Cricetulus griseus: one gene and its partners. The protein of the gene in region 1 interacts with the protein of each later gene in a biochemical or structural test. Links are inferred from orthologs where the notes say so. Each region holds a gene or a part of one and is shown on either strand. Other genes may lie near its edges.

What was found.
Region 2: the proteins of Rbpj (region 1) and Spen form a complex in vitro, tested with the Homo sapiens proteins (2 studies listed by BioGRID and IntAct). The link is inferred for Cricetulus griseus from reciprocal best matches to the Homo sapiens genes RBPJ and SPEN.
Region 3: the proteins of Rbpj (region 1) and Notch1 form a complex in vitro, tested with the Homo sapiens proteins (5 studies listed by BioGRID and IntAct, with this or other methods). The link is inferred for Cricetulus griseus from reciprocal best matches to the Homo sapiens genes RBPJ and NOTCH1.

Annotation. Positions count from the first base shown.
Region 1 is NW_023276807.1:121,908,494-121,912,143, forward strand, and holds part of Rbpj (recombining binding protein suppressor of hairless), read left to right. Parts: intron 1-929; coding exon 930-1,067; intron 1,068-1,221; coding exon 1,222-1,334; intron 1,335-3,302; coding exon 3,303-3,443; intron 3,444-3,650. UniProt on the Homo sapiens protein: Transcriptional regulator that plays a central role in Notch signaling, a signaling pathway involved in cell-cell communication that regulates a broad spectrum of cell-fate determinations.
Region 2 is NC_048595.1:11,780,637-11,784,286, reverse strand, and holds part of Spen (msx2-interacting protein), read right to left. Parts: coding exon 1-3,650. UniProt on the Homo sapiens protein: May serve as a nuclear matrix platform that organizes and integrates transcriptional responses. In osteoblasts, supports transcription activation: synergizes with RUNX2 to enhance FGFR2-mediated activation of the osteocalcin FGF-responsive element (OCFRE).
Region 3 is NC_048599.1:137,857,329-137,860,978, forward strand, and holds part of Notch1 (neurogenic locus notch homolog protein 1), read right to left. Parts: intron 3,625-3,650; coding exon 3,367-3,624; intron 3,283-3,366; coding exon 3,170-3,282; intron 2,335-3,169; coding exon 1,763-2,334; intron 1,559-1,762; coding exon 1,157-1,558; intron 27-1,156; coding exon 1-26. UniProt on the Homo sapiens protein: Functions as a receptor for membrane-bound ligands Jagged-1 (JAG1), Jagged-2 (JAG2) and Delta-1 (DLL1) to regulate cell-fate determination.

The DNA of each region.
Region 1 (3,650 bases):
GGTATTTGGGAGATTGCAGAATTCCCTAAAATCATAATGCAGTGGGACTGCCTGTAGAGACCTTTCAACATGTATTTTATAGGGTTTTAATGAAAGTACCTAGAAGCGCTCCTGTGCTCATACAGAAGTGTGTTTGTTGCTTAGTAGGACCACAGTGTATAGAGTGTTTCACCATTGGCCTTTTCATTCAGTAATATTCCAGGAATTTATGTAGACATAGTTGAAATACATGAATGTTACTATAATCAATTTAATCAAGTGTCTACCAATAGACATTTGTTTTTAAAATAATTTTCCAACTAATAATTGTCACAACATTAAGTGCATTGTGTAACGCTTTCTGAGTGAGAAGTTGACAGCTGACTGAAGGGTACAACATGGTTCTTTCCATTACTTGTTTTTTTTTTACTTCTGCTTTTTGTAAAGCCCATACTAAATTAAAAATGAAATTAATTAAAAAGAAATGAAAGTAGGCAGCAGTGATGTCTAAACACAGTACTCAGGAGGCAGAGGCAGGTAGATCTCCGAGTCTGAGGTTAGCCTGGTCTACAGAGCAAGTTCCAGGACAAGACAGGGCTATGGGAGAAACCCTGTCTTGAAAAATCAAACAAAACAAAGAACTGAAACTAGTTTTAAAAAACAAACAACAACAAAAAAAACAACCCAATTTTTGAAAATCTTTTATGTCATTATCTTGATAATATTGAGAAGAAATAGACCTTGTTTTCTTTTTCCTTTTCTTTCTTTCTTTTTTTTTTTTTTTTTTTTTTTTTTGCTATCCCTTGTCTTAGAAGGCTAAATTATTTGCCACCAGAATCTGTTCATTATTTGTATTATTGTAAAAATACTCATAATTTGCCAAGCAGAAATCCTTTGTTTTGTTAACCTCTGCCTCAGTCATATAAATAGGAATCCTCTTGTCATTGCAGTGTGCATTGCCTCAGGAACAAAGGTGGCTTTGTTTAATCGACTTCGATCCCAGACAGTTAGTACCAGATACCTGCATGTAGAAGGAGGAAATTTCCATGCGAGTTCACAACAATGGGGAGCATTTTATATTCATCTCTGTGAGTATAAAAATACACATTTGATATTTTCAGTATGAAAATAATATATTCTCTTTAGGGGGATAAAATGTATGAATATAGTCATTTTGTTGTGTCTTAAACATATACTAAATTTTAAAAGATAGCAATTTTGTCTATTTTGCACCCACTATAGTGGATGACGATGAATCAGAAGGAGAGGAATTCACAGTTCGAGATGGTTACATCCACTATGGACAGACTGTCAAACTTGTGTGCTCAGTTACTGGCATGGCACTCCCAAGATTGGTAAGACCTGGTTATATGAGATAGAAACAAACTAGGAGAGATAGAAAAGTGTAGTTCAGTTTTTATACTTTTAGATGTGAAAATGTAATGTCCCAATTATCCCCTATTAGCCGTTGCCTCAATTCGTAAGTGCCCTTAAAGAATTAGTCTGCTGTGAGTGCATTGCTGAGGTCAGTCTCTTATGCCATTTTAAATGAATTTGGTGTTGGTTCCCTTTTTGATTGTGTGTCTGTTATTTTTTTCTTGAATGTTGCAGATATACTGTATTCCTTTGTGTGTGTTACCTGCTGTATCTGAATGTAGGACCAAGTTTTCAAAAGCCTAGATACATACATATAATTTTTATTAGGCTACTTGACTGAAACATTTGTTTAAAATTTGGTAGAGTTTAATTTCTTGCTTTGGGAACAATGCACAGGATTGGGGCATTTTTGTTCATTAGATCATAAAACTATAAAGACACTCTTTTCCCTGTAAGTTGAAAAAAAAAAAATCCCAAAATTCTGCTTTCCAGAACTGTAAGTTTAAGATGCATATTAAATATCTTAAGTGGAAATGTTGACTAGTTGTGACATATGCAATGGCACTATGAAAGGTCTGTTAGAGCAGGCATGGCTCTAGGAAAAATGTCTGAATCAGGTGCTTCAGAGGCTGTGAAGCCCTGTGGAGGAGAAATGCATGAGGGTCACCTTTCTGGAGGCTCTTGGTGGCCTTGGTGAATAGTTAACAAAGGAAACTTTGAGACAGAAGGTTATAGGGCAGTGGTTCTGAATCTGTGTGTTGTGGCCTCTTTGGGGGTTGCATATCAGATATTTACATTATAATTTGTAACAGTTTCAGAATTACAGTTATGAAGTAGCCATGAATTTTATGGTTAGAGGGCACCACAATGTGAGGAAAGGGTCTCAGCATTAGGGAGTTTGAGGACCACTGTTATGGAGGCTTCAGGAGACTGGACTGTGAGAACGATGTCTGTCTTTCTCAAGTAGCACTGAGAAACAGGCTTAGGGAGAGGGAAGGAAAGGCATGCTGAAGGAAAAGGCTTACAGTATTTATAAGTATTTATAATGTGTTTGTATGCTCTTGGGAACAAGCAGCAGTTTCTCTCCATGGAACTTAGTGACTACCTGTTGTGCCTTGTATCATTTAAAGTTTGCTAGCATTGTCTTTAATGTACACACATGGGTTCTCTAGAATGCCTAGATTGGTGGTTCTCAACCTGTGTGTTTCCACCCCCAGGGATCCTTGAGTGGCTTTGTCATAGGGGGTCACCTAAGACCATCAGAAAACACAGTATTTACATTATGATTCATAGAAAAATAGCAAAATGACAGTTATCAACTAGCAGTGAAAATAATTTTATGGTTTTGGGGGTCAGGTCATCACAATTCGAGGAACTGTGTTAAAGGGTCACAGAATTGGGAAAGTTGAGAAGCACTGATATAGTAGCTTACTGTAGATGTTTCCTTGAGGTATTAAATTTATATATTATTGAAAAGATCACTAGAACCTTACAGTGAAAATCCTTGTATCTATTAGCAGCATTCACAGCACCAGTGTGGTACAAGTGTAGAATGCTGGGCCCCAAGTGTGTTAGGCATTTTTAGTCAAGAACTCCAGACAATTTATGTATATATTAATGTTTAAAAAGCACTAATCTATATTTTTGGTTGTGAGCCTAGCCTTTAACGGCTGAGCCATCTCAAAAAGCACTAATCTAAACAATGAATGAACGCTTTCCTTATTTCTTAATGTATTCTTTGAAGGGGTGATTTCCACATTTAATAAACATATGTTTATAAAATTTATGACTTTTTATTCCTAACCTTATTGCTTAATAATGTCTAATACGTAGGTATAAGGCTAGTGACTGATACATCATCATGTAGTGTATTCTATGGCCTATGACAGTGTATAAAATAAAAACTGCATGTGGATGACTTACTTTTTTAAATTGTTGGAATACAGATAATTAGGAAAGTTGATAAGCAGACAGCATTACTGGATGCAGACGACCCTGTATCACAACTCCACAAATGTGCATTTTACCTTAAGGATACAGAAAGAATGTACTTGTGCCTTTCTCAAGAAAGAATAATCCAATTTCAGGTATGTTATAAAATGATTGGTGAAATCCAAGCTATGCAAATAGGGCTAGGGTGCTGCTTTGTGACAAATACCTGCCCAGCACTATATTCAACCCCAGTAGTGCAGATCAGTAATGACTGGATGAAATGTGCTGAAAAACTATTGAATTAACAGTTTACAGAGACATCCTTCTTACTGGTTGTCAATTATATCCACATACAAGAAGCT
Region 2 (3,650 bases), on another chromosome or scaffold:
CGGGCCCCTTTAGGAGATTCACAGGCCCGGCAGGGGTGCTCACTAAACCTTTCAGTGTGGCCACTGAGCCCTTCACGGGACCCTTTAAGGCATTCACTGGGACCAGAGAGACATTCACCAGGCCAGTCAGGGCACTCACCAGGCCAGTCAGGGTCTGAGGAGCTGGTTTTGCCAATGTTATCTTCTGCGAATTCTCCAGGTCAATGCTGACAGGCATCCGGCTAATAACAGATGTGATTTTAGGGGCAATGACCGGAGCTACTTTCTCTTTGTCAGCAGCTACTGGGACCTCTGAGGGCTGGGTGTCAGAAGCATTTGATACTGGAGTTGCTGACTTTTCTTCTAAGGGAAGATGTTTGGGTTCACCTGGAGGGACCGGTGCCTCATGCAGACAAGGAGCAGCACTCACGGGCTCTGCGATGGCTGCGGTGACACTTGTGGAAGTAACACCTGTGGCAGATACATATTTGGGATCCATGAGGATCTTCCTCAGTGTACTGGAGCTGGTATCCACGTCAGATGCCTTTGTGTCTGGGGGAAGAGCTGGAGATGGGGTGGACTGAGTCTGAGGCTCCTCCTGTCTTGTGATCCACTCTGTCACCTTAGTAGGGGGACTCTGATGTGGGACTCCCCCAGGAATGACAGGGGGTGGGAGCTTTGCTATTGTCACTAAAGGGATTGTGGGTGGAGGAATGCTGGAGTCACTGGGTGGAGTCACCGGGTCACTTTCGATGATTGAATGCACCTTGAACCTGGCCTGGGGTTCGTCACCCACCAGCGATGGCTGGGAAAGAGGAGGGAGGTCAGGGGGGGCGGGTGCTTTGCAGGGGGTCGTTTCTTCAACACTGCTTTCCTGACACAGACTCTCGGCAGGTGGGGTCTTGCTTGGATCAGAAGTGCATTCCTGAGGAGGAGTAGACGGGAGGTTTTCACTCTGCTGTTCTTCCTGGAGAGCTTCTGGGGGTGCTGCCGTTGCCTCGTTAGCAGCAGGGCTCTCGCTTTGAGCCTGCTCAGCCTCAGAGGCACGAGGCTCTATGGCAGTTTGTATTCCTTTCTTGTTTGTATTCCTTTTCCGGCGTGACCGTGTTGTCTTCTGACGCCCTTTGTCTCTTCGGGGAGGAGTGACTTCCACTTTAGACCCCCTGGCTTCCTGTACAGCATCACTGCTGTTCTCTCTGGTTTCCTTGGTGTCTGCAGAGCCTGCTGCAGGGACCGAGGCACCGAGCTGTGAGCCAGAAGACTGGGAAACAGCATTTGCCTCTGAGTCTCCAGATGTGGCCCCAGTGGGCCCCGGCTCCATTCCTTCCTGCGGATGTGCCTGAGATCCTGTGGGGAAGGAGGCAGAAGCAGACAAGTTTTCAGGCTCTCCAGAATTGTCACTGATAATGGACCCAATGGCCGCAGCCAGTTCGGTTTCGCTTGCCTGGTGTGCAGGCTTGTGGCCATCCTCCGGGGCAGGGCCTTCAGAAGTCCCTGTGGCTGGTCCCTTGTCAGCAGTACGGGAGGAGGGCTCAGTGAGCTTTGCGATGTTCTCCACAGCCTGCTCCAGCTCCATCTGCTTGGCTAGCTGTGTGGCTTCCGGGGTCACCGTGGAGGTAGACGCATCATCCTTCTCTGCTGCCTTCTTAGGATCAACTGGGTCACTTTTCAGCTGACATGAGGAGCCACTTTCCTTTGGGGGGCTCTCATTTTTCTCAGGAGAGATTGCCACAAGCCCAGCTTCCTTGTCCACAGCCTGCCCTGCAGCCCTGGTGGCCATGTCCAGGCTTCTCAGATGTGCAGCTCTGTCCATTGCTGACCTGGTGTTACGGGCCCGCCCTCTCTTTGATTTGGTGCCTTTCTCGGGAGGTGGCTTGTTCTCCACTGCCTCAACTGGGAAGGGGTCAGGTCCATTTTTGTCTGTGCTGGTATCTCTCCGGTCACGTTTTGAATCACTTGCTGCTTCTTTATCACCTCTGGACTTAGCGTTACTTTCCCTCGTGTTCACCTGGGCACTGCTTTCAGCAGCAGCCTCAGCTTTTTGATCGTTTCTCCCCCTTTTCCCATGGGGTCCGCCAGTGGCAGCTGACTTCTGCGACCTCGGAGACCTCCAGCCCTCAGCTGGCTTGGGTGTTTCTGCTGGCTCTTTCGTCTCATGCTCTTCATCGTCCTCAACACGCCGGCGTGTTTTAGGAGGCCTTCCCCGCCGAGGGGTGGTGGGAGCTACTGTGGCCTCCTGCAGCTCCCGCTCCAGTCTCTTCCTGGTCACTCTGGGCTGCTCAGCAGGCTCTTTAGCTGGAGAGCGACTTTCGTGGTCACCCATGGTGGCATAAACGCTCCTGACATTCCGGCGCCTGGTTCGGCTGAGAGGTAGGCTGGGCTCAGGGAGCTCAGGGTCCCCCGCAGAGCTTTTAGATGCAGCCCTTGTAATCTTCTCAGCCTCCACCTTCAGTTCTAACAGCTTCTGTGCCTCTCCTCGAGGAGAGCTGGACCGCTTCAGCTTTTCCCGGTCTATCCTCTCGCTCTTTCTGGTGACAGGCTTCTCCACGATGCTTGTGGCAGCTGCCTGGACCGGTGTCTTGGAACGTTTGTTTTTGTTTGTCTTCTTGTCTCTTGCAGCAACTGGAGGATTGGCCTCTACATCTTCAGAGGCTGGGGGCTGAACTTCAGGCATGACTTCGGCTTTCTGAGTGGCACTGGGCTCAATGCCTGGAGCTGCATCTGGCTTCTCCACTTTCGGCTCTTCGGCTTCCTCAGACTTCTGAGCCTGTTTGGAAAGTGGCTGGGGACTACTGGGTTTTGGGTCTACATTGCTTTCTGCCTTGGAAATTGCAGTCCCAGGAGTCAGAGGCTCAGCATCCACACAAGGGATGGCGTCAGTACTTGAGCTTTCTCGAGTAGCCAAAGGGGCCACAGCAGTGCTTTCACTGGTGCCCTCTCCTGGGGTTAAGTCCACCTGCTTGGGCTGTTCCACAGGGGCAGGAACCGGCTCACAGGCGGACTTCACCTCTTCCAATAAGGGGGCTGGCTCTACAGGCTTCTCTCCTGCCAGTAAAGGAGCCTCTGCTGTTTTCTCAGCCTTCTCTGGTGCTGATGATGCTGGTTCTGGCGTCACAGGGGTGACCACAGGAAGCCCAACTGAAACGGGGGCTTTCGGCTCCAACTCTTTAGTCTCAGTGGCAGGTTCCGGGGTCTTGGCAACAGTCTCTGGGTCCTCATGTTTCTCAGCCTCTTTGGGTTTCTGGTCCTTCTCCTTCTCCTTCTGTTGCATCCGTGTGAGCTCCATGAATCTGCTGTGGAACAGGACCACTGGCTCCTGGACCGAGTCACCTGTGCTACTGGCCCCCTCAGATGCTTGTCTGTTGTACAGCCTCCCGGGAGGGAAGTCAGACTCCTCCCCCTTCCTCTCAAGATGCTGCAGCCGCTTGGAGTCCTGCTCAAAGATGGAGCTATGTAAAAACCTAGAGGCGAACAGCTCCTGCCGCTCCTGCTCCTCCTCCCGGTGGTCATCCTTCTTATCATCCATTTTCCCCTCCGAGTCAGTCCTGATTTTCTTCTTTTTCATGTACCAGGATGGAATCGGTCTTGGGGCAGAGTCAACCTTTTCTTTATCTTTGTTGTTTCGAAAATTAGCAAAGCGGGAGTCCCAGTCAAGGAAAGACCAGTTTTCC
Region 3 (3,650 bases), on another chromosome or scaffold:
TGTCAATCTCCAGGTAGACAATGGAGCTGGGAACACACACATCACACTGAAATCAGATACAGCGTAGCATGCTGCCTGTACACCAGCTCTGACTCCCTATCCTATCACCCTGACCCAGAGAGCATATCTGACAACAACAGCCCAGCAACTGGACAAGTCTCCCTGCAGCCTCAGTGTTTAGCACTCAGCAGGGGTTCTTCCTACTGCCCAACATGTTTTTCAGCCTTGCCCCTTAGGTACCACAGCACCCCTTTCTTCACCTCAGAGAAGAGAATGTCCTCAGGCACTCAGTGCACTCTTGAGAGCAGTAACCTGGTGCCCCACAGAAGTGCAGGGACGGGTTGTGGGTTATTCCTCAGAACTCCCCTAGGAGTGGCCGGAGACAACAGCAGGCTCAGATGCTAGAGAGCTGAGACTCTCATGGCAGCCGAGTCACCCACTCTCAGTCATGGCCTCTCAGACACAGGATTCTAATACAGCTTCCAGGGAACAACACATTTCTAACTTTTACTGCGGTTCCATACCAAGGAAACCAGGACTAGAAACTGCTGGGGTCAAGAGACACCAAGGAGCCACCAGGCAGATGCCCAGCATCTCAAAGAGGAATAGGTGGCAGGCTCCTGGAACCCACAAATTCAGGGTATGGGGGTGACCAGTATTGCAAGGACCACATCAGTCCTGGCTGGTGCTTCTCTGCCTGTTCCCAGGTGGCTCTGTGCAGCATCCATGAGATGCCCTTATTTGTGCCTCCTCATTGCCACCCTCAGCTCCTCAGCCTTCAAGGCTCAGCAACAGTGCCTTTCTGCATTTCCCCACCCGCCTCCTCTGCAGTGTGGATAAGGAGGCTATAGAGACTGAGGTGCCGGCTTGGTCTAGGATGATTTAGCTCCAGGGACCACCCTGGAGGCTTTAACCAGCTTGGTCCTGATTAAACACCTAATACATAGTGGAGCCTCAAAACCACAAGCTGGGCAAAGAGTGAACCCTGCCAGGTACCTAGAGAGAGGTGGCCTCCACATTCCAGGTCCTTTTTGACCATAAAGTAGGGTGAATAATACCTCCCCAGAGTTCACCTCCAGGGTTGAGCTGGTAACAGGGCCCAGGAATGCACTAGGAAACAGCCCACAGAAGCTGGATCTGGATGGAGCTCACTCACCCTCTGATGTCCATGGGGTCCAGCTCCCTGCGCTGGCGCCCCCCATTGGTGCTGGGAAGCAGTGAAGAGGTGGTCCAACCCACTGCAGAGCGCTTGATGGGGTGCTTGCGCAGCTCTTCCTCATGGCCGTAGTAGGGGAAGATCATCTGCTGGCCTTCTGCATCACGCTTGAAGACCACATTGGTGTGCAGCACGTGGCTGAGCTCCCGCAGGAAGTGGAAGGAGTTGTTGCGTAGCTGCTCAGGTGGGAGCAGCACCACCAGCACCAACGTGCCAGCTGCCAGTCGCTCAGGCACATGGTCTGCACAGTCTAGCCCATCCCAATCGCACTCGGCACTGTTGCAGCCCTGGTCACAATGGCCGTCACTGAAGTGGTCCTTGCAATACTGGTCATACAGAGGGCTGAGGGGTACAGGACACACTCAGTCACATCCCAGCCTTGTGGGCCTCACACCCACCCTGACTGGCCCAGACCTAGGAAATGTGCTTGGTGTCCCCTATGGGGAGGGATAGACATTGGCCTCATGTTCCTGGTATTTGTTTGGTTCTTCCCCCCGCAGCTGTCTGCTGAGCCCTGGGACTCTGAAGCCACCGAGCCTTACTTACTTGCACTGTCCCTCGGTGCGCTGGCAGTCGAAGCCATCAAAAAGGCAGCTGGCTGAGTTGCACTGGCTGTCACAGTGGCCATCACTAAAATACTTCCAGCACTGTAAGGACTGCGTGCAGTTCTTCCAAGGGTCATTGAAGTTGAGGGAGCAGTCACCACCATCCCAGCCACATGCGTGATTATTGCACTGCAGGTTGCAGACCTTGTTGCCTGCATCTTCCTGGCACTCAGGCAGCTCGCAGGCCTCCTCAATCTGTGGCGGGGGAATGTCGCGCCCAGCACCACCTGTGAAGCTGTAGTCCAGGATGTGGCACAGCAGCCCGTTGAATTTGGCAGGGCACAGACAGCGGTAGAAAGGGCTCTCGGATGTGGGCTCACAGGTGCCCTGATTGTAGCAAGGGTTACTACCCACACAGGGGCTGCTGGCTGGGAACTGGCACTCAGGGCCAGTAAAGGAGCCCAAGCATAGGCAGGTGGGACTTCGTGGGCCTGAGATACATGTGCCACCATTGAGGCAGCGCAAGCTGCCACAAGTGCGGGCATCATTCTCACACGTGGCACCTTCAAAGCCCTGTGGTGGTGGAGAGAGGATGGTGCATTAGAGCAAGGTGCTAGAGTTCAGGAACACCATGCACCCCATCCTAGGCCTGGCCACATCTCATGACCTATGAAAGGTGTCTATGGCCTTTCCGAAGTAATAAGACCCTTTAACATCCTCACCATAGAAAGGTCAGGATTACCACAGGCTTTGAAATGGAGGGATAGCTAAGAGGGCAGAATCCTAGATTTTAGAACCATGAAAAACCAGGCTGACACTGGTACATTATATGTGTATGAATTTCTGAGTGTTAACACCAGAGCAAATACTGTACCTCAGTGCCAGCTATAAGTGTGATCCTCAACACCTTCCATGCAAGGTGGTAACCATAGGAAATGGCAGGCAGGGTGGGGACTTGGCCCTCCTGATAAGTTCTCATGCAAACCTAAAACTGCCTCAAGATGAACATTTATTTAAAAACAAGAGGCTGGGCTGGGACTCAGGGGCAGAACATTTGCCCAGCATGTGTGAGGACCTAGGTTTCCAATACAACATAGCAGGAAATAAACTTTTTTTAAACACGGACTTGCCCTGTAGCCTAACGTAGCCTTAAATGCAGGACAATCTTTTAGCCTCAGCCCCCAGAGTACTAGAATTACAGGTATGTATGTATTATGCCCACTCAAATTTTAAGAATGAACTGGGAGAGTGGGCATGAGGAAGCATGGGGCTTGATCCCTAGCCTTGGCTAGAAGCCTTCAGGCTAATCTACCCTGGGCGTGGGACATGTCCACCCAATGTAAAATTCAGGGGTTCTGGCACCCTTAGACCTGGACCTTAGCAGCTGCACAGGGCCAGGGGCACCTACCGCAGGGCACCTGCAGATGAATCCGCGGGCAGTGTTGGAAGCCACAGCACAGACACCCCCATTCTTGCATGGTTTGCCCCTGCAGCCGTTGATGACTGACTCGCAGCGGCGTCCTGGATGAGAAGACAGTAAGGAGCTAGCCCTGCCACCACTGCCTGTCCACCCAAGGCGCCTGCCCACCTGCCCAAGGCACGCACCAGTGTGGCCAGCCCGGCACTCGCAGTGGAAGTCATTAACACGCTGCACGCAGTCTTGGGTGCCTCGTGGGTCACAGGGGTTGGAGAGACACTCATTGATGTCACCCTCACAACGTTCTCCGACGAAGCCTGGTGGGCAGGTGCAGCTATAGCCACCCACCTGGTCCACACAGGTGCCATTGTTGAAGCACTTGGGGCTTCGGGAGGCAGGGTCAAGGTGGGGATGGCAGTCATCAACGTTGATCTCACAGTGTACACCTGCAGAATGACCATGGACACTGTCA